3 linked regions of the Drosophila melanogaster genome follow. The protein of the gene in region 1 interacts with the protein of each later gene in a biochemical or structural test. Each region holds a gene or a part of one and is shown on either strand. Other genes may lie near its edges.

What was found. The genes of interacting proteins can lie anywhere in the genome.
Region 2: the proteins of exd (region 1) and Scr are reported together in a solved structure, tested with the Drosophila melanogaster proteins (2 studies listed by BioGRID, with this or other methods).
Region 3: the proteins of exd (region 1) and Dfd form a complex in vitro, tested with the Drosophila melanogaster proteins (one study listed by BioGRID).

Annotation. Positions count from the first base shown.
Region 1 is NC_004354.4:15,990,937-15,998,736, reverse strand, and holds exd (extradenticle), read right to left. Parts: upstream 6,038-7,800; 5' UTR 5,813-6,037; intron 5,802-5,812; exon of another isoform or gene 5,624-5,801; intron 5,266-5,623; 5' UTR 5,229-5,265; coding exon 4,964-5,228; intron 4,773-4,963; coding exon 4,454-4,772; intron 4,391-4,453; coding exon 4,132-4,390; intron 4,053-4,131; coding exon 3,765-4,052; 3' UTR 2,228-3,764; downstream 1-2,227. Other genes in the region: CG8939 (uncharacterized protein), read right to left, coding at 1-1,613; CG46312 (uncharacterized protein), read left to right, coding at 7,633-7,654. UniProt on the Drosophila melanogaster protein: Transcription factor which acts with the selector homeodomain proteins altering the regulation of downstream target genes such as wingless (wg), teashirt (tsh) and decapentaplegic (dpp), thus affecting segmental identity.
Region 2 is NT_033777.3:6,845,856-6,852,085, forward strand, and holds the start of Scr (Sex combs reduced), read right to left. Parts: upstream 4,127-6,230; 5' UTR 3,690-4,126; intron 2,651-3,689; exon of another isoform or gene 2,061-2,650; intron 1-2,060. UniProt on the Drosophila melanogaster protein: Sequence-specific transcription factor which is part of a developmental regulatory system that provides cells with specific positional identities on the anterior-posterior axis.
Region 3 is NT_033777.3:6,789,427-6,795,961, reverse strand, and holds the start of Dfd (deformed), read right to left. Parts: upstream 4,127-6,535; 5' UTR 3,638-4,126; coding exon 2,851-3,637; intron 2,466-2,850; coding exon 2,365-2,465; intron 2,300-2,364; coding exon 2,122-2,299; intron 1-2,121. UniProt on the Drosophila melanogaster protein: Sequence-specific transcription factor which is part of a developmental regulatory system that provides cells with specific positional identities on the anterior-posterior axis. Homeotic protein controlling Drosophila head development.

The DNA of each region.
Region 1 (7,800 bases):
TGTAGTACATCCTTCTCGTACCACAGCTGTACGCGTTGCTCTCGCTTGGTGTTTTTGTCACGGAAATCATTGGATTTAATCAGCGGATTCTCGGAGCGTTTCTTTCTCTTGTTTTTGCCCTTTGCATTGCCCTCATCATTGTCGTCGTCACTGAGGCCCAGGCCCTGCTTATCATTGATTTGATCCTCGTCGTCGGAGGCCTCGCTTTGCTCCTCATCATTGTCATCGTCATAGTTTAGATCATCGTTGATGTTGCCCTCATCCTTGTCGAAATACTTGTATTTTGGCAGCTTTGTTTCCTCGGGCTGCGATTCATCGACAGCAAAATCGGGTTGCACGTCTAGCAGCTCGTCAAGCTCGGCAGAGGTGCGAATATTCTTGAGGTCAAAGATTTCGTGCTCCATTTCCTCGACCGGACCATCGTCTCCCTTGATCACCATATTAAGGTTCATCTTCTCGTGCAATTTCGCCTTGGTCTTGAGCGTCTTCTTACGCTTACGCTTCAAGTCCTTCTTCTCCTCTTCGACAATTGTCTCAATTTGCGTTTGCAGCTCGGCATCTTCCATGTCCTCGATTTCCGCTTGCGTCAATGGCTTGGGCTTCTCATCTGCGGCATTGCCGACGACCAGTGGGGTTTCCTTTTCAACGAACAACTCCCTAACATCCTTCCACCATTGCACGAGACCCTTGATATCCTTGCGGCCCAATACCTTCAGATCCTTGCAGCACTCGAGAATCTCTGGCGTGGTCTTCTTGTGATTGGCAATGCGCTGATCATCGATGCGAATCGAACCGATGCCCTGCAGCGCAGCCAGTGCATTTTCAGCCTTCAGGAACTCTGTGGCAGCCAGATCGTTGCGCAGCGCAATATCCTGGGCCGTATAGCCCTCGGCCTTGATGCGCTTTTGCTTTTCGGGATGCAGCAGGCTGCTCTTCTTTTTGGCATCGAGATCCAGCTCCTCGAACACATACTTCGAGTCCAGGAGACGGGGATCAATGTGATCGGGCGCCAGGTAGCCCTGACAGACGACGAATATCTCGGCGGATTCCTTACGCGACGCACTCGGCTTGGTGGCGTGCACCTTCTTGAACAGCTGCTTGAGCACCCAGAGCAGGGCATTGTAATCCTTGGAGCGGAAAACCTTCGTCACAAACCAGCCGCCGTTGCGCAGAAACTGTGTGCTCAACTTGAGCGCGTTGAGGGTGAGACAGATCTGCTGATAGGCATCGTACAGCCAGTTCCTACCCACATTGGGAGCACCGTCGTGGAGCACAACATCGGCCTTCCACGATTGCAGCTCCTTGGTCAGCGATTGGCGGCACTTCTCGGTGGTGATGTCCTCGACGAGACCAATGCAGCCGGCAATGGGACGGATGGGAAAGAGATCCACGCCGATCACAATGCTGGACACCGGCATATTCTGCTTGGCCACCTGCATCCAGCCACCGGGAGCTGCGCACAAATCCAAACATACTTGCGATTGTTGGAGGAAACCGAATTTGCGATTCAGCTGGATCAATTTGAAGGCGGCACGCGATCGCAGGCCCGTCTCCTTGGCCAACTGGTAGAACTTATCCTTGCGCGTCTTTCCAACTTTCGTCTTCTTGCCCATTGCTGCTGGCTTTTCGTACAATTACGATAAAAATCAAAACGAATTCAAATCAAATGTCGAATTCGTGCACGTGTTGCCAACAGTGTGGCCGTATTGACAATTCAAAGTATTCCGGGCAGTGCCAGCATGCGCGTCAAGGTAGCGGCGATTGAGTGCTAGATAAGTGGAACGTGTTCTTAAATTGTGGAATGCATTGGGGCAGCGGGTGAATTTTTTTAAAATTTCTACTTTATTATTTATAAATTTAAAATTGGTCGATCAAAGTGATTTATATAAATTACTACACACTTTTGGGAATAACTGTAAGATGTGGGGTGAAGTACATTAAGCCGTAATGAACCATAATAAAAATAAAATACGCCTAAAATTAAAATTTTTTGTCTGTTTTACAGCTGCCAAAAATCTAAAAAATTAAAATTCTTCTGTTTTTATTGACCAACCCCACATAAAAGAATGATTTCTATCTGTGAGCCAGATAGTTTTAATTAAAGAAGAGCAAGTGTATCTACAGATGCTCCATCTCTTTCTATTACGTGTATAGATTATCTGCAAAGGATAACGCCCTTTTCTTTAATACTCCCAAAAAACCATTAATTAATACTTCGTTTTGATTTATTAAGTTATTTGTGTAAAGTTGTGTATTTATATATTTTTCTATTGTTATCCAAAATGTTTAATGCAGTACCTTACTTACTGAAATACATTGAATGGTTTCATTTGACCGTAATGTGAGCGAAAGTCTGTCAAAGACATATGTTATTTATCATTTAAAATTATAATCGTTTTGTATACTTTCAAATAATCTGTTTTCATATCCGTTTTAATTGGGGGCAAAGAGTAGTGTACACTTCTTACTAAGCGAAAGACGAATTTGTTCTTGATTTTATAATGCAATTAAGTTGGGAAGTTCGTTTTTATAGCAAGAAATCCATTAAGATTTAATGTTTAATACTTTTTAGGATGTAAGAAACAAACAATTGTTTTGAGACTTTTAAAATACACGTTAATAAATCTATTAAATGTTATAAGCTGTTAAATAATACAATTCGTCCTTCGATAGAAATGTGACATTTTGTTTATCCAAGACTTTTCTTTTCCGTTTTTACATTCAAAATATTTTTGTAATTAGTTGACGTGTGTGCGGATAACAACAACATGTATTATTTATTTATTTGATATACATCGTATACATGGTTTAGTTTCGTATTTTCGTATTGTTCAAGTTTTTAAAAATTTCGTACAGTTTTAAATTCAGTAAACACTATTTTGCTGTCGTATACGTACTGTAGCCAAAAAAGAATCGTCATAGTATGATTTACATGCAATATTTGTATATACCCGCAAATGTAGGTAAATGTATTAAAATATATTTATACACAGCTGCGGTCAAAATAATAGCTCTGAAACTTGTGCCTCCTCCACTCGTTGTGAAAATATTCGTATACTACCAGTTTAATCGAGTTTCTTTGCATATGTTTTCGATGGTTAATATATAAGCTAAATGGGGCTATGCAGAAAAAGTCACTGCATTGGTTATTAACCCTTTTTAAAGAACGTTGATCAAATTATAATCGCTTAAGCGAATTATTACGTATTTATGTATTTTACAGTTGACATGCCACAAACAACATGCTTTCCATTTCAATTGATTGTGAATTAAAAAAAAAAAGCGAGCAAACTTTTCGTTTTATGTTCGGGCAAAAAATATTCTTAATTAGGCCATTATTCAATTGTCGACTTCTTAATACATCCTGCATGCATATATTGTTAAAAAGCAGGAGACTGTGTCAATTAAAAAACCATATCAGCTTATTTACTTTCTTTTTTGATTTAAGCAGGCAAAGTTTTTTCTGCCAACCAAAATGTAGCAAGCACAAACTAACTATTACGTATTTATATTCTACTCACGTATTTATGTATATCTATCGGAACTATATCTAAATTGATGGGAATTTTAAACTTATCTGACTCGAAACCAAAGGACAGAAAGCTGAATTTAAAAATCCCTTAAGAATTGTTGTTCTTGGCGAAGAAGCAAATATAAGCCGCATAATTATGAAAAAACTGCATGTTAGATTTTTCAGCGCAGTTATTTTGACCGCAACTGTATGAGGGATTCTCCGGACTGGGAGTGGTTCACAGCCCTGATCCTCAGGGGCTTAGATCCTGATGGAGATTTGGGTCGTAGCCGCCCATGCTGTTGTCGTACGGTTGCTGCTGGTCGTATCCGCCGGAGCCCATTGGATAGCCCATGGAATCCTGTGGCGGAGCGGGTGACATCATGGGTGTGGTTGTCCCGCTGGGTGGACCGGCCATGGAATACGGTGAAGCACCAGCCGCCTTCTTGGCCGCATACAAATTGGCCTCCTCCTGTGCCTTACCAATGTTCTTCTTATAGCGAATACGCTTGTTGCCAAACCAATTCGATACTTGCGAGACCTGCATGAGTGTGTTTTGTTTTATTTACTATGCTGCAATCGGATTTGCATTGTTGATTAATGTGCCCTACACTACTTACCGTGATGCCACACTTTCGTGCCAACTCCTCTTTGGCCTCTTCGGATGGATATGGGTTGCTCAAGTGACTGTAGAAGTACTCGTTGAGAATCTCGGATGCCTGCTTGCTGAAATTGCGGCGTTTGCGGCGTGCGTCCAGGAAACGCGAACGAAGTATCATTACAGCCTCGCAGGTCGACTGCTTCAGCTGCATTTGTATGGAACTAAACTTTTTGTGGATGATCTGCACCATTCGCTCGATTTCCTTTGGTGTAATGGGTCTGAAATACGATTATATTACCCAAATGATGGCCATCATTTTGCATTTATCTATATACACCAACCTCGTGCGACTCTGTTCGCGTAGAAGATTCATGACATGCGTGGTGAACTCGTTGCATGCCTGCTCGTACTTCTCCAATTCCTGGTGATATATTTGACGGATCTGTGCCAGCTTGGCACGGTAGTCGGAATGCTCAATGGCATTGTCAGCACCATCGATGGACAGGGAACCGCCCTGGCTGGCCGCAGCCGCAGAGGCAGCCGCTGCTCCGCCACCGCCCTTCTCGGGTCCGGCCACGCCCTCGGCAATCAGCATGTTGTCCAAGCGCATCAGTTGCGGATCTGGGGGCTCCTCCTCCTGGGTGTTGCGAATCGAGAGGACTGTAATAGTTTTAACGAAGAAGACGAATGATAAAAATAATTTCATACTGAACGTTTTAAGACTATTACGTTAAGAATTGTGTTTGATTTAGTAAATCAATTGTATCACAAGCAAATCACAAAATCCATAATACCATTTCAACTTATTTGATGGTCTTGAATGAGAGATAAATATAGGGTTTTAAGCTTACCGGTCTTCTCCTTGATTTCGCAAAGTACAGAGAAAAGTGCCGGCTTCATTCGGTGACAGTTTAGTGTATGTTTTCTGGCCTGGGCCTCGTCAAGTGATTGCTCCGAGATACTCATTATCTGTTGCAATATCTCGCCGATGTCCTTCTGCTTGCGCACCTCGTTCTCGCTGCCGGCATTCTGGCCATCATCCTGGCCAGACAAGCCGTATCCTTGCGGAGCCATCATGCCGCCGGTGTGGGCCAACATGCGATTGGGGTCCTCCATGGTGCCGCAACACAAAGCAAGCTACAAATCCAAGTTTCTGTAATAATATTAAACATCAAATATTAAAATCATGCAAGAAAAAAGGAAATAACCCAATATTTTTTCTACCAATTCGATTTTTTAGTGTTTTATTATTTAATAAATATTTCTTTTTTATATAAAAACATAAGTTTGAAACCCTTAAAAATGTAGTAAAAACTTGAGTTAATGTATACTTAACAAACTGAAAACAAATACACCAATTAAATCTTTTGCTACAAAATTCATCATATCTATAGAAGAGATACCAACAAAGCCATTAAACCCACAAACCCCACCACAAAATAATCCCCCAGACATTTGAGCAAAAGTGAAAAGACATTTTGGTATCCTATTGGAAATGCAATAATCTCCACCTGTCGCAATCTCATGAAGCGGCATATCTTTTTGGGGGTGAAAAAGTATCTCAGATGCGTAGCACGAAGCTGGGCAGTTACCCGAACTATTTATGAACTTATTTCTATTTATTTATTGCTGTGTACCACAGGTAACGTTACATTTTACACATGTACAGATAAATGACGCCGAGTGCATCACATACATACACTTGTACGTATGTTTAGTGCCAGCAGAATGGTAAAAAAAAATCAACCTGCCAAGTTTATATTTACATACACACAAGGTTATGGTTAAGCATTAATTTGAATGCAGTTTGAAAACATTTTGTTGGTTTTACATGTACATTCTTGAGATTTTATTACGTCAGAAAAGATTTAAACTGTTTATAACAAGGTGTATGTACATATCCACACATCGATATATGTGCATGTAAGTATTGAGAAGCGTCCACTTGAAATTCCATACTCACGGTTTTTTATTTATCGTGATTGCCTCGTATACTTATTTGCCGTACAAGTCGTATTTTGTGTTATTTTCACTAAAAATTAGTGACACATTACTTGCAGTTGTAAATAACCGCAAGTATATAATATTATTATCTTTTTTGGACAACAATGAAACGAAAGTACGTTCTGTATACGCAGAAAAATAAATCGATATGAAAAAGTTTTCCAGTACTGTAAGAATATCGATAAGTATTCCATAAAATGCAATTTATATTTGCTAGTGAAAACGTGGACAATCGATATCTTACCCGTAGTTACATTCTAGTGCTTACTCACTGCGAGTTGGGTATCGATACTATTTAAAATGTGGCTCTTGAAATAATATTTTAAACATTTTTTCAATAAAATAAATAAGATATCCTCTACAAAAAATGTGGTATATTGGTATTGGAATATAGAAGAAATACAGATGATCCACTCTTATAACATATATTTTAAAAGGCTGATTGGAACTACGTTTAATTATATAACACATATATTTGTTTCTATTTTAGTCAACTTCATTTTTAAAAATGGTCTTTCGTTTTTAAGCGTATTATTACATATCTTCATTTTAATAAATACCATATAAATTATATAAAAGTGAAAGTGTGAAAAGGCTAAAATTCATTCACATCATATTCGGCCAATCGATAGTGATAGGCTGCAGCCCACTAAAGTCGTTATGGTCATATTGTGCTGTGACGTTTAGTCGTATGTTCGTGGACTTCGGAGAAAATCTTTTCTTAAACGGTTAATTCAGTAAAATTATTAATTTACTTTCATTGTGATCAGAAACGCTTTATAGAAAACTTGTGGAAAAGGTATTGAAAAGTGATTGTGACCAAAACGAACACAACCTCAAAAGTTTAAATGGCGTGGCTTTCATCCATATGTAAATGCATACGTGCATGAAAATGTACATTTATATATATCTATACTAAATAATTCAGTTTTCCACAATTTTTGTAACGTTGGGTCTAGTGTATATCTGCATAAAGCTACTTTACTTCGTGCTTACACAAAAATCACGCTTCAACAGTGTTTTTTATGGCCATTATACAAAAGTACTGAATACATAAGTAATAGGAAAAGATATATATGTAAAATATATATATACTTGAATGTTAAATTAACCTTTTTCCTTCGAAATTATAAGTAAATTTGAGCTAAACTAAAGTAATGTAAGAAATACTTAGTACGGAGTGGTATACATATGTTCGTTCATGCGCATTCCTAATTTTATTTTCTTTCCCTTTGCAGAATAGTTGAGAGACCAAAAATTTCAATTTTTGCGATACATAAGCGCGTTAAAAGCGTTACTAATATTTTTCAATATTAGCACGGAATCAGAGCTATCAAAAAAAAAAAAAGTTATCGATTTCCCGTGGCAGTGCGATTTGTTTGATTTTGATTTATCCATATATATTTTCCAAGTCAATTTGCGATTGACTTCACAAAGAATACCCGAGAGTACGATATCTTTGTCTAATTTGCGAACTGGCATTGCGCACCCCAAAGGAGGGGAAACAAAATCTTATATGACTTTTGAAAGATACGGTGGTAAGTAATAGTTAATCATCAACAACCCATTGAATCGATTTGTATCTAAGACACATATTTATCCCGACCACTGTATAATGTCTTACTACTAACCAAGATCCGGATCCATCCAAGGTTACTTTAACATTAAAAATAAGCTTAAAAAT
Region 2 (6,230 bases), on another chromosome or scaffold:
TAGTCATAAATATTATTCCTCTTCATCTTTTTGTGTCTTTTTTCTCACTCCCCAAACATGCATCTTCTTCTGCCGTGGCAACCCTCGTCACAGTTGCTGTTTGTGGTTTGTTTGTTTGTTTGTCATGGCTCTCATAATTTTTATGAGTTCTCCAATTGTTTTCCCAACTGAAAACCAATCATCGATTCCGATCCTCGCTGCAAGCGGCCATTTGTGGTTCAGCTTGTCATCTCCTCTCCTCTCCACTGCGATAATTTATGATCTTTTGCGCAATGGTCGAGTCGGAATTATCATTTTAAGTAGTCCTGTTTCTGGTCAAGGACATCTCAATTGTGTAATGTATCCTGGTCTTGCCACTGTTTATGGGTAATCCTTGGCCAACTTAATTTGTAGTCATATTTTTGGAGAGCAGTTTTGTCGGACAACTATTAGGATAAATTTAGGTAGAGGGGCGGGTTTTTAAGACAAGTATTAGTTGTATATGCTCGCAGCATTCATGGTTCAATAAATTTCTTTTAATTCTAAACAAATGGCATTCAATATATGCTGTTCCAACCTCTTTTGTATTATTTTGTCTTTCGGTCTTGTATCTTTTCGTTTTGCTACTCTAGCTTTTATTGTAGACTTTTCTATTCCTGTTAGAACGGCCTGCCATTTTTGCGGCCAATAGATCAACGACTCTAGCACAAATTTTCAGCTTGCGTGCTTGCGATTTTGATTTATAAATATGAACGAGTATTGTTGAAATATTTGAGGGGGGCGTCAGGAAGAGCCGGGGTTAGGCCATGATGAATGTCTCCGCCAGGCGCAGGCCAAATAAATTACAGCGCTGCTGAAGACACTCGTAGAACTTTGGACTGGCCCCTACCCTCCAATTAGCCGTATAGACTGCAATTCGGAGTGGAATTGTTACTGGGCCTGCAACTGTCTCAGTGTTGTGCCCATATTATGCAATCGATGCAGCCAGCTCTCCAGCTCTTTGATCTTGGCCCACCCTTGGCGAGATGGGCGAATGAAAGTGACCTACATCAAGTGGAATTTCATCCACTTACGACTAGAGCACATGTGGGATGCCATGCCGGGATGTAGAATACTGCCCAGGAGCATCGCCTTTACTCGGTCATTGGCAAAGTCCCATGAAGTTCCAGCCCAGTGCGTCTTCTTTTATTTTACATAATTTCATGTTCGCCCCATGGCGTCTTGGCCAGCATGAGTTCGAGTTCCCCGGATAGTAGCCAAGCCTATATCGTGGGCATTTCTTCATCCCTATCCCAGCTTGGGCTCGGTATATAACGCTATGTGTCTGGATTAACCTTCTATATGCGGCGCTTGTTAGGCATTTTTCATTCGCTGTGACATTTCGCCTTTGTGCCTCTTAATTATTTCAAAAGCGGCTGCATTTCGCTTTAATGAAGTGAAAATTCCTTGCGTTGATACCGCACACGCAACCTTATGAAAAATTGCTTAAACAGAATACAGAAACAAAGCCCCGATATAGGGAAATATATAAAATGTATTTTCTGGGTTCGGTTACTAGGTATCAAAATATATTTCATTGATTTTTTCAAATTATATTATTTGATATGGAGTGTCTTAAGAAGCAAACAGGGGAAATTATTACGCACCTTTGATGATTTCTTCAAAGAATATTAAATTGATTTATTAAAGAAATTAAAAATTTCTTATTTTTTTTTAACTTACTAGTGTTGGTATTATTTCTTCAATAAGAAAGTCAAAGTACAAGATAAAGATTGTAAGATTAAAAATAAAATTTAAGGTGGTAGAAATATTGTTACTTAAAAAAATATGTACATACGAACAAAGCACTTTTTTATTGTAAATATTATTTGATAAATAAAATCGCATCAAATTGTTAAGAAAAAACTATAATTAAATTGCTTTAGACCAAATATTGCTACATAAGTTCTTAACACATCAAAAAAAAAAACACTAGAAAATACAAAACAAAAACTGACAACGAATAAATATCCTTTCCATGACTGTTTTCACCTGTTCCAAAGCGCTTAAAATATTTTCAGCCGTTAAACTCGTTTACTCACAATTTTAGTTAGCCGACGGCGTTCACCTCCGTTCAAGTGAGTTTGTTTTCTGATTTTCACTGCACTGAACCACGATTTTCACTTGTGCTGAGTGCGGAAATCAACGTGCACAATTACGAAGGTAGAATTGTCACAACCAGCCGGATATCTGGGAAATTAATCCGATGGCATCCTGAGGGCAAACTGGCTAGACTTTTGCGTCCTACCTGCAGGCTTATGTTTTGGATGGTTCTAATGGGTAATTGGCCGCAAAGGGCTAAGCGACGGATTTGGACGGCTTTTGGTATCACAAACACACAAGCACACGCGCAATTTGTTACAGATCACGATAAGTATATGCGCTATGACGGAGTATCTAAGTATCTGCGCGAATTTCACGCCGAATTTATGACTGTCCATCAGCGCCAGCATCGATGCAAGCACTTTGCAGTCCATCCATCTTTCGCTAAAATCGAACAGTATTCGAGGGTCTTTACACGCGGAACAGCTGAGTGTTGGATTGTTTGAGTTTTTTTATTTGTGCTTTTTTTTCTGTTATTCCGGTGTATCCGCGGATACGTGCTCGAAGCGCCAATGTCTCACTTTGACTGCTCGGGCATAATTCAAATTTCTGAGCATCAATAAAAAACACAGATACGCCAGCGCTCTGGCTCACTCATACTGCTCCATTTCCCCCGTCCAATTGTATCTGCGAGTACGAGCAAGTAAGGCTATATGGCTATACAGCTACATATCGTCGTCCAAGTGCAGTGTTCATTATTCGAAAAGTGTGCGAGAGAGACAACGGGCATTGCGCCGCTCCGCCATCTCGCTCGCTCTCAGGCATGTGCTGAAACTACCTTTGCGGACGCGAAGAACGTTTCGAATCAACCGCCAAACCAGAAATTCGTTCCCACAAATTGTATCTCACGGATACGAATACGACACATCGGTGTGTGTGTGTGTGAGTTCGAAAGAGCGGTAGTTCGAAAAGCACCGCTCTCGCGTGTTTCGAACAAGTTCTTATTGAGAGAGATCGTTACTCGGTAGTTCGAAAATCATGTTTCGAACTGCGACTAAAGTCTTATTGTTCTCACCGACACTGTCCGTGTGAGATCGATTTCGGGGGACCAAATCATAAACATTCGAACTCCGTACTTTGGGCTAGTTGGGATAAAATCAAGACTCTGGGACTCATTTTGGGAGTTTGGAGAAGTAAAATCTGTCTCTGAAGATTTAATATATATTTTTAATGTTGTTCATATATTTTTTTTTAGTTAAGTGTGCAGTTAGTTTATATAACATTTGGAGGTATTGCAAAGAAGTAAAGTAATTGGATTTCTGAACTTGCTAAAATAATATATATTTATAAAAAATATATATATATATATTATATTGATTTTTTACAATTGACACCTTTTTTGTATTCTACAATATTTATTGTTTGTTAAATTGACTCTAAAATATTCAATCCTCCACACCACAGTGCAGTTTTAATTCAGAATGATTTGAGTGGAAAAGTTTAGAAAGGTTAAAAGGAACCATTTAACGATATATCGATGGTTTCATTTAAACCTTTAAGGGCAAAACTTTCTTAAATTTTCTTCTTACATTCAGAGTTTAGTTTTTCTACGTTTGTTATTTTCTTACCTTTATGTGGACGATTTGGGGAAATCCAATCAGACGCTACGAACAAGTCGTTGTAATTCAATTAGTTTTCTTAGCCAGCACTTCACTGTATACTTTTTATTTTCGTATTAATTGTATTTGCCTTTTGCACTGCACTTTGCTATCTTAGTTATTTGCGAAGATGAGCAGTTTGAGAAATTATTTGAGGTGGGTAGGTAATTCCGCTCCTATGTAAAGGAGTTAGTCGGTAAAGTATCCGCTATGGGGAGACCATGGCACCTTGCCGTCGCCAAAGAGCTTTCCATGGAATCGCAAGACTGGCTTTCAAGCGGAAACTTCGCGGATTGCTACGCGTACGAATACGAGAACGTGTATCTGTATCTTTTTATGTTTGCAGAAGACCGAGCGCGCTGCTTGGCGACTGAAGTGCGCCACGTTCAATTCACGTTTGAGCCATAAAAACCGACAAAACGACCCTCTCGTGCGTTGCCTTGTGTGCGTTTCGAACACTGTAAATCATTTGAGGACCCGGCCAACGAGTGCGAGAGAGAGGACGGACAGTGCGCATTTTCGAAAATCCTGCTGTCCCACTTGCACCCACGGCAGACTCCGCCCCCAGTCTTGATTTATGCGACGAGGGTGCCACGGCAACCGGCCTATGGCGCTCCAGCTTTTCCCTCGATTTGGGGAAAAGCGCGCTCTCGAGAAAAGCGAGAAATACGAGAAAAGCGAGAAAAAACAGGTAGTTGGCAGCCACTCCAGGACACATCTGCCCCCGGTTCACGCTCCAGATTAGGCCGAAATCATCCTAGATTAGGCGTCTCCCCCACTTTATTTGTATTCAATCGTGGCACTGTTCCGCTAAATCACCGCCACATTATTATTTCGCATTATTATTTTATAAACGTTCCGCTCCGCGTTCATTTCCATTTTTATTGGCCTGGCAAAATGCAAAGTCTCCTGCTGAAGCTTAAGTTATTCCTCCTTTAAAACGAGCTCGTTGGCAGTTGTCTCTGAATTTAAATTTATCGGTCTGTTTCGGGGCTGCGGATCGGGTTCTCTTTGGGCCGTAGCCAAGTTCAAGTTCTCATGATTCATTCAGCATCGGGGCTTAACGATTTTGATTTGTTTGGCTAAATGCCTTAATTAAAAGTCGATTTCATATTTGCTACCAACAATCCAGCATCGCATTCAGAGCTGAACACACATATGGTTTGATTTTGGCGTCATTTGAATTTGAATTCAATTGATTAGTTTGTCTCGGAGATTTAAATGTTGATTAGCTATTTTTTATCATAAAAATGAGTTGCTGGTTAAGACACACCCAAAATCGATTTTGAATGAGATTATTTTTTTTATTTTTATTTTTGGAATCTAACGTTTATGTTGCGAAACCACAAACATATACCAAATACAGATAAATGGCATAGGTCATTCGTAATATATTGCAAAAGCAAAAGTTTGTTTTAATAAGTATTTATAGTGAGTGTCTTAAAAATTATCTTATTTAAAAACGTATAAACTTAATACGTTTATTTGATACGAACTTGTAATAAAAGTGTTTTTTTAAGTGGTACTGAACGGTTACTTTCGAAACCCGAAACGCGAAATCAGCAATTCTTTCGAAAATATGTTTATTAAAATATAAATAAATTTTGTAAGTACGTATTTCGGAATTTATAGCTTAAGTTTATGTACCAATTCGATTTGTTCTTCTTATAGAAGTCGTATTTTTTGCCATATGTTTTCCGCTGTGTTTTTGAAACACACATGTCAGCTCTTTATGGTTGGCCCGCATCATCCACAAACCATATAAAAGTATAGAAAAAAACAAATGATGGAAAATAAATGAAAAACTAAAAAAAAAAAATCATAAGAGAGACGCCTGCGTGTACTTCTGTAATTGGAGTTGATGTTGGCGATGCCAGCGGGCAGCCAGCGCCAGACTCTCGTATCCCAATCCATAGCATAGCATAGCATCCTCTCGGATCCCATTCCATTCTAGATCCATGGAGGGTCCCCAGCAGCATCCAACATGTTGCAGGCGATTTTTCATCATCGCTTGCATGTTGCCTCCGATTGTAAATGTTGCCCCTCGCACACACACGCTCAATTTTTAATATGAAACAATCAGCAGCGTTTGTATTTTGTTTTTAGTTAAAGAAAACAGCGCGTAACGCGAAGTTGGAATTTTTGAATTAAATCTGGACATAGAAAAAACACAAAGAAAAACTTTGTAACTTATGTAACGCACTTATGGTAACTTTTATAATACAATGTAACATATTTATAACTAATTTTAAATTTACTTTTCCAAACATTAAACTGTTTATTTAAACAAATTTTTTTTTCTTTTCCATACACAATTACTGAATTTTATTACTATTTGGGGCTTTATATTTGAATAGCAAGAGAGGTTAAAATTAATGTTAGTATGATTTTGTCTCAGTGCATCAACGAAACTGCAACAGCAACAGTTTCCAATTAAACGATCCAAGAAAAATGAATACCCCTCCCCGAACCAAACTCACGACAATTCGTTAATACCTTGCCATTTGAGTT
Region 3 (6,535 bases), on another chromosome or scaffold:
AATGCGATTCACACCTAGCTCTGCTTCTCTCATTCGACGGAGGCACAAGTTTGAAACAAGTTTTAGGCCGCCGCAGGGCCAAAGCAAATTAAATTCGGCAAGAGACCACACGCCACATCAGCGGCATTCATAGTTTGGGCCTTAGTTTCGGGCAAGTGCTAAGCGAGTGTAAGTCATTTGTAAAGGGAATAACATGACACCGGCGGGAACCCGGGGTCACGGGTCTGCGTTTTGGGGCACAACGAGACGGAGAAGGAGACGGATGCCAAGACGCTGGATAAGATGATGCACTGGCGATAATCAAGCCCCGTCTTGTTCTCGTGGTCGTGCGCTCATGATAAATGTCACAACATTAACATCAAATGACACGGACCATCCGTCACTCAGTCGGAGTTATACCCTACCGATGGAGGGGCGGGGGCTTGGAATCGGAATCCGAGCATGAGCCCGAAGATAAGTTGGTATGGTGTACCTTGCGACTGTGTCAAATATGCCCCCGAGCGATCGTTTCCCTGTCTCCCTGCGCGCCGCACAACTTCGATATTTCGTTTTTGGGTTTGATTTTTGATGCTGACACTAAGAAAAACTTTCCACAATAAAGAAAATCAAATGCGGGCTTTGTTGTTTTATTTTAAATGTCCCAATATTAGAAATAGCATCTTAGAAACCGGTACGAACACAATAAATGTGTAATGGTATATATTAATAATATAGTTAAGCCATTGCTTTTATATGACCCTCGGTTCCTACTGTAAAGCCAAATTTCATCATGTTAACATGTTTAATTGGATTATTAAAAATTAGAAATTATTTAAAAACCCTTTAGTTTGAAGCCAACTTTGAATTATGTACTATATTTTTTTCAGTGAAACGACAAATTTCCACAGTCAAGTAAATCGGGAGTGGGTACTGGGAACCCGATGAACCGATGAGGCATTTGACAATGAGCGAGTCGGAGTGGCGTTAAGCGAAACGTTATAATTACCCATTTGGGTCAAGGTTATGGTCGAACTGGAGTATCCCTGTGTACTGTGCTGTGCTAATTAAAAAGCAATCTATCAGTAGCTTCAGACCTCCATCCGATCCTCTGGGAAACGCATTCGTCACCTACTTGCCGCCCCGTGGCATCCCTATTTTGGTTTTATTAAAACAATAAGCGACGACAATCTACAGTTGGCCGTCAGATGTTGTTGGTAACACACTCGAAACATGGCTGAATGAATTCCCCGTTTGGGGGGTGACAATTAATTAGTAATTATTTCTGCCAGGTCAACTCAACTGAGCCCATTCAGTCGGTCTCTGGATCTGGTGAATGAAACCAGGCAAGAAACCTGTTCTCCATGTCCAAGTTGCATTCAGTTTTTGTGCCAAGAATGAGTCGAAAAAGCTTTCATTGTAGGCCTTAGAAAATTACTGTGTATAATTCAGAGAGCCTGGAAATTATTTTCTGGGGGCTAAGCATATGAATGGATACATACAATTTTTCAGAAGAACATTGAAATGAGAATGAGTGTTCGTTAAAATATCTTCGAGGTTTAATTTAACGATTGTTTCTTCCTAGACAAAAATGTTTCAATTGCCTAAAAAAAAAAACTACATATATATGCAGCTCTATACTACATTCCCAGGATGACTTTTTATGATGTATCAATTGGCACCGTACCATTCAGCAGTCCAAGTTGATTTTATGTCAGTTCAAGTGCTGAAAGAACCTCTGAAGAGGCCTAATAACCAGGAGCCTCTTAAAGTGCTGATTGCAGCGAGTGGGACTCACTTAACGTTATGTGCATTATATTATATTATATAGGAGTAGTATGTACAGGAACTTGTCGTTTGGTGAACACGGTTCGCCCCTCGACGCAAGGCGTGGCACTCTTGATTTTGATTAATGAGCTTGGAGTCGCAGTTTTCTTTTTTAAGTTACTCGGTTGGCTGGTGTCTTTGGCTTTTAGATTGTTTATTTTCATTTTGGGTTTCGCCCAGGAACGAACATTACAGGGGCCTGTCAGTGAATCAAGTGGGTGTTGGCAGCTAAGTAATTTAATTAGCATACCCCGAAAAATGGGACACGACATGGGCGCGAAGGGGAGAGCAGGAGATAAAGAGAAACTTTCAACTTACCAACTCCCGCCACATGGATCTTCTTCATCCAGGGGTAGATGATCCGTTCGCCATCGGTCGTCTCCGCCATCAGATCCTCATCGCTGTCTGAGTCCCCGAGGTCGTCGTCGTTGTCGTTGGAGCCCAGCTCGTCTGGAGATCGATCCAGCATGAGCCGATCCTCCTCTGACATATCGTCCTAAACAAGTCAATCAAGGCCTCGATTACGCATTCTCTCTTGGCACATCTGCTGCAAGTACTTACGTTTTCGGATCCCATATCATCACACCGCAATCGCATCCCTAGCTCTTGCAGTTGTTGTCCGGCAGGTACAGCTTCTTCTATGCGTTTTTCTAGTTTTAGGCCTGCATGGAATGGAAGTCACTTTAGTTTGGTACAGTGTAATTAGAGTAGCTAAAATCGAATTGAAGGGCTTATATATGTACAAAATATTAGATCTTTTTTAATATTACTATGCGGCATAACAATCTTGTGGGCTTATTTTAAGTGTTTTTCTCAATCTGCTCCCTAGACATTTTAAAAGGTTTGGATATACGAATGTAAAATGACTTTGCTATGGAATTGATATATAAATAAAAAAAATAATTATATAAATATAAATATAAATATATATTTAATATAAGGATCGATTGATAATCTTCAGATTATTGAAATAGTACTAAGTATATCCTCCTATCAAATCTCAACGGATTCCAAGAGACAACAGAAATTCTATTAGTATGGACTCACCTAATTCCTGCAGTCCCAGCGCCGTGTTCGTCGGTGGTTCCGTGGAGCTGCACTGAAGGGGCAGATCCATCATCTGGGAGTGCGGCGAGTGTCCTTGGGAGTGGGTGCTGCCCACACTTCCGTTCGCCGTCCCATAACCCCCACCGTACCCGCCGTAATATCCATTTGCCGATCCACCCACTGCGCCACCTCCGAGCACTGCGCCACTTCCTCCGCCACCACCGCCATTGCTCGTATTTGGAACGTTTGCCGCCGGTCCGTATCCGTTCGTGGGATCGGAGTGCACCGCTCCTGCGGATATGAATTCGGGGGCGTGGTGGACGTAATAGCCGAGGCTCTGGTGCGGATGGGCGTGTGGATGCGAGTGCGGATGTGAGGGCGGAGTGGCATTGGCATAATTGGAACTGTAACCGCCGGCGGATGCCTGGTGGTGTCCAGATATTGCACTGTTGCTATGGTGGTGCGGTAGTGAGTGGGTGTGCGAATGGGAGTGGCTGTGCGGATTGTGGTGATGCGCCATATAGTCACTGACCATGTCCGCCGGGTGCATGGAATGCGGATGACCAGTCATCCCACCTGCTCCACCACCTCCGACAGACCCAACACCTGCACCACCGCCGACGGCACCACTCATATGACCCGTAGATGCGGTCATCGAATAGTGTCCATTGTAGTGATGATAGTCATCGGCCAACGGCGGAAACTTTGGGTCCAAGCCATTGCCCATGGACATGGGACTCTGGACATGATGTGGTGCATGCGGATAACCCATGAGAAAAGAGCTCATGACGGAAGGTCTGTTGGATCGGGGTTCACCGGATGCGTTTTCCTGGTTATTACTTTGTTATTCGATTTTTTCTTGGGCACTATCACTTGGATTGCACATACTCCGAACCTTTTGCTTTTAGTACATTAACTATTGATTAAAGGCGCTGCTTTTGCAAGTAGTAATTACTTTTAAGATTGTGTTGGTTAAAATAAATTTCGTATTCTTTTTAATATTTTTAACTAAACAAAGGGGTTAGAAGGCTCCCGTTGTCTTCATAATTTTCACTTTTATTGTTTTGATTATACTTTGTTTGCACTTTTTTGTCACTTTTAAAAGCCGTGGGGCCTTGGAATTCTGAGAAACTTGATTATGGTGTTATTTTCCGGTTATAAAAAACGTTTTTACAACGAATTTCAATCCCACACAGGGAGAAAAGTCGGACGTTTCGGTCTTACGAGTGCGCTGCGAACACGAACCGTCCCATTCGAGCCGATTTTTTGTTATGCTCGCTGGCGATAACTCTCCGTGCGAGCGAACCTGTTTCGCCACTCTTCGCTCTTGTTTGCTTGTGCTCTCGCTCGCTCTCTCTCACCGCCATTGCCATCAAAACGGGTTTTCACTGCCGAAGCAATCGAAGGACGGCCCACACACGCGCACAAATAAAGCCATTCATATGTAGCAGCCATGTCTGTTCACCTTTTCTCACCCTTCGCCTCGTACGCCATTTTCCACCACTGACCATAGTTCTCTCGCAAGCGCGACTGAGAGGGAGCATTGTGGTTAAAGCGGGATGGCCAGATCTTTGGTCACACCCATTTTGAGTTGCGTGAACAGTCAAGGCATACAATATTGAACTAGTTCAAAGAAGTATTCTTAAAAAAAAAAAATAAAAAGCCATTAATTAAAACTTTAAAATATAATTTTACTTTTACTGTACAGTGTATATATTTTTTTTATATTTTAGTAACGTCTTATTTATTTTTTTACGAAATAAGCTTATTTTACTTTCCAAGGATTAATAAATTGAAATGACAGTAAATCGAATAGAAAATTAAAAACGCAATTGTCTACATAGAGAAATAGGATTTCTGAATTGATTCAATGTTATATTTATATCTCAAACAGCACTGTTTAGCTCATTAGCACACCTACTTACCTACCCTCGACTGTTCTTCCCTCAGACTTACTATTTTGGTTGTACTTTTGCTGTGAGTGTGCTGGTACCTTCAAAGTCATGGCGCACGCTCGAAAATTGAACTCGACGAAAAAGTTGTCTGGACCCAAGAAACTCCGCCCATTTTCAGAAGGCTTTCATCGATCCCGGACAAGACGTAAGTGTGGATATGGAGCACACCATTTATTTTCCACTTTCATAAATGGATTCTGTAGGAACGATGCAGAGAACGCGTGGGTAACAACAGTATTGATCGTAAAGAGGGGACGGTACTATTGGATGCCGATTTCTTCGTCTGAATTCAGCTACCGAGTTGGAGAGTCCGAGCTGACTTGCAACAATTTCAATTGAACAACCAACGAATATCACTTTGTTCTCCTCTGTGATTATTGTTGTGGTCTGGCTGGGGCTAAGGCTGTTATTATTGTTGTCATTACTACCGTGATTTTTCCTCCGATGTTGTTGTTATGGCGATGACGGGCACATATTCAAATGGAGCAAGCGAAACGTGGAAAATCAATAGAATGATTGTTGTATAATGCACATCGAGAAGGTTGGATATTTAATGCTTTAATATTGTTTTTAGTAAATATTTAGACTGATTCATAACAATCCATAATGTGGGTAAAAGAAAATATGGCTTGTACTTTTAAATTCGTACTTCGAGCAATGCGGAATATTAACAATTTATTTATAGGTAATATCATACAAACTTTTGATTATTTCGCTTAATGAATTCAACAGATTTTAAATTTTTGTGATATATATTTTAATAAGTTTGAAATCTGCTGACCCTATAGAGCCAGCTGCCCTAACTCACTTCAAATAAAAGTTAAATTGAGCATAAATTCGTGTCACACTTCTGGAGTGTGTTTCTGAAAGTGACTCTGGCTAATTGCCGAATAATTGGACCTCCGGTAAACCCACCAAAAATATCTTAACCCCCTTACAATCAGGTCCACGTGCTGTGCCACCTCCTTCACCAGTTCCATATGTGAGCGGTATAGGGGCATGGCCACTAATTAATCGACTTCCAACTGATTCGATTTTGATGGTCACCATCAAAACGTCATTAGGCTAGTTAAGTTTATAAAACTTAAATTTAGTCTGTGGTCCGTCGGCCAGACTCATAGGAGTAAATGTTGGTTTAGGTCTTCATTCCACGTTAAAGTGTTCGAATTAATTGACCAGCTAGTGTTAATTAATGGAAGTTCCATGTTTACTAATTTTACTGTGTGATTCATTACGCATATTTGTTTACAAATAACTTTGGTCCAAATCCAAAAATATAATTGCTTTTAAATTACATTATTATATTTCTCGAAAATTTAAAATCAGAAAACTGTTATTTAATTTCTTATGTATTTAAAATTTTTAAAGATAGTACCAAATTTAGATTCCATGCTTAGCATATTACACTCCTGAATGGCTGCTGCTTGAGGACCTTTAAAACTCAGTTGCATTAGCGGCTGCTACATCGAATTTTCTCAGTTCTGACGTAGCTCCTTAGGTGGATGGAAGCACGATGTGGGAGGTTTGGGAAAGTCCCAGCTTGCGCAGGGATGAGGGCTCCCTGAGCCAGCAGGGAGGATGGGTTGTGGTACAACGAGGATGGCTCGGTTGGGGGACAGTGGGTGTTTGTTGCTATTGCTTGCTCTTTGTCCGGGGCATTTGAGTCCAAATCCCAATTCAGATCCAGCAATCAGTTGCGACTGTCAGGCGGCGGCAGAAGGAAGTTCACT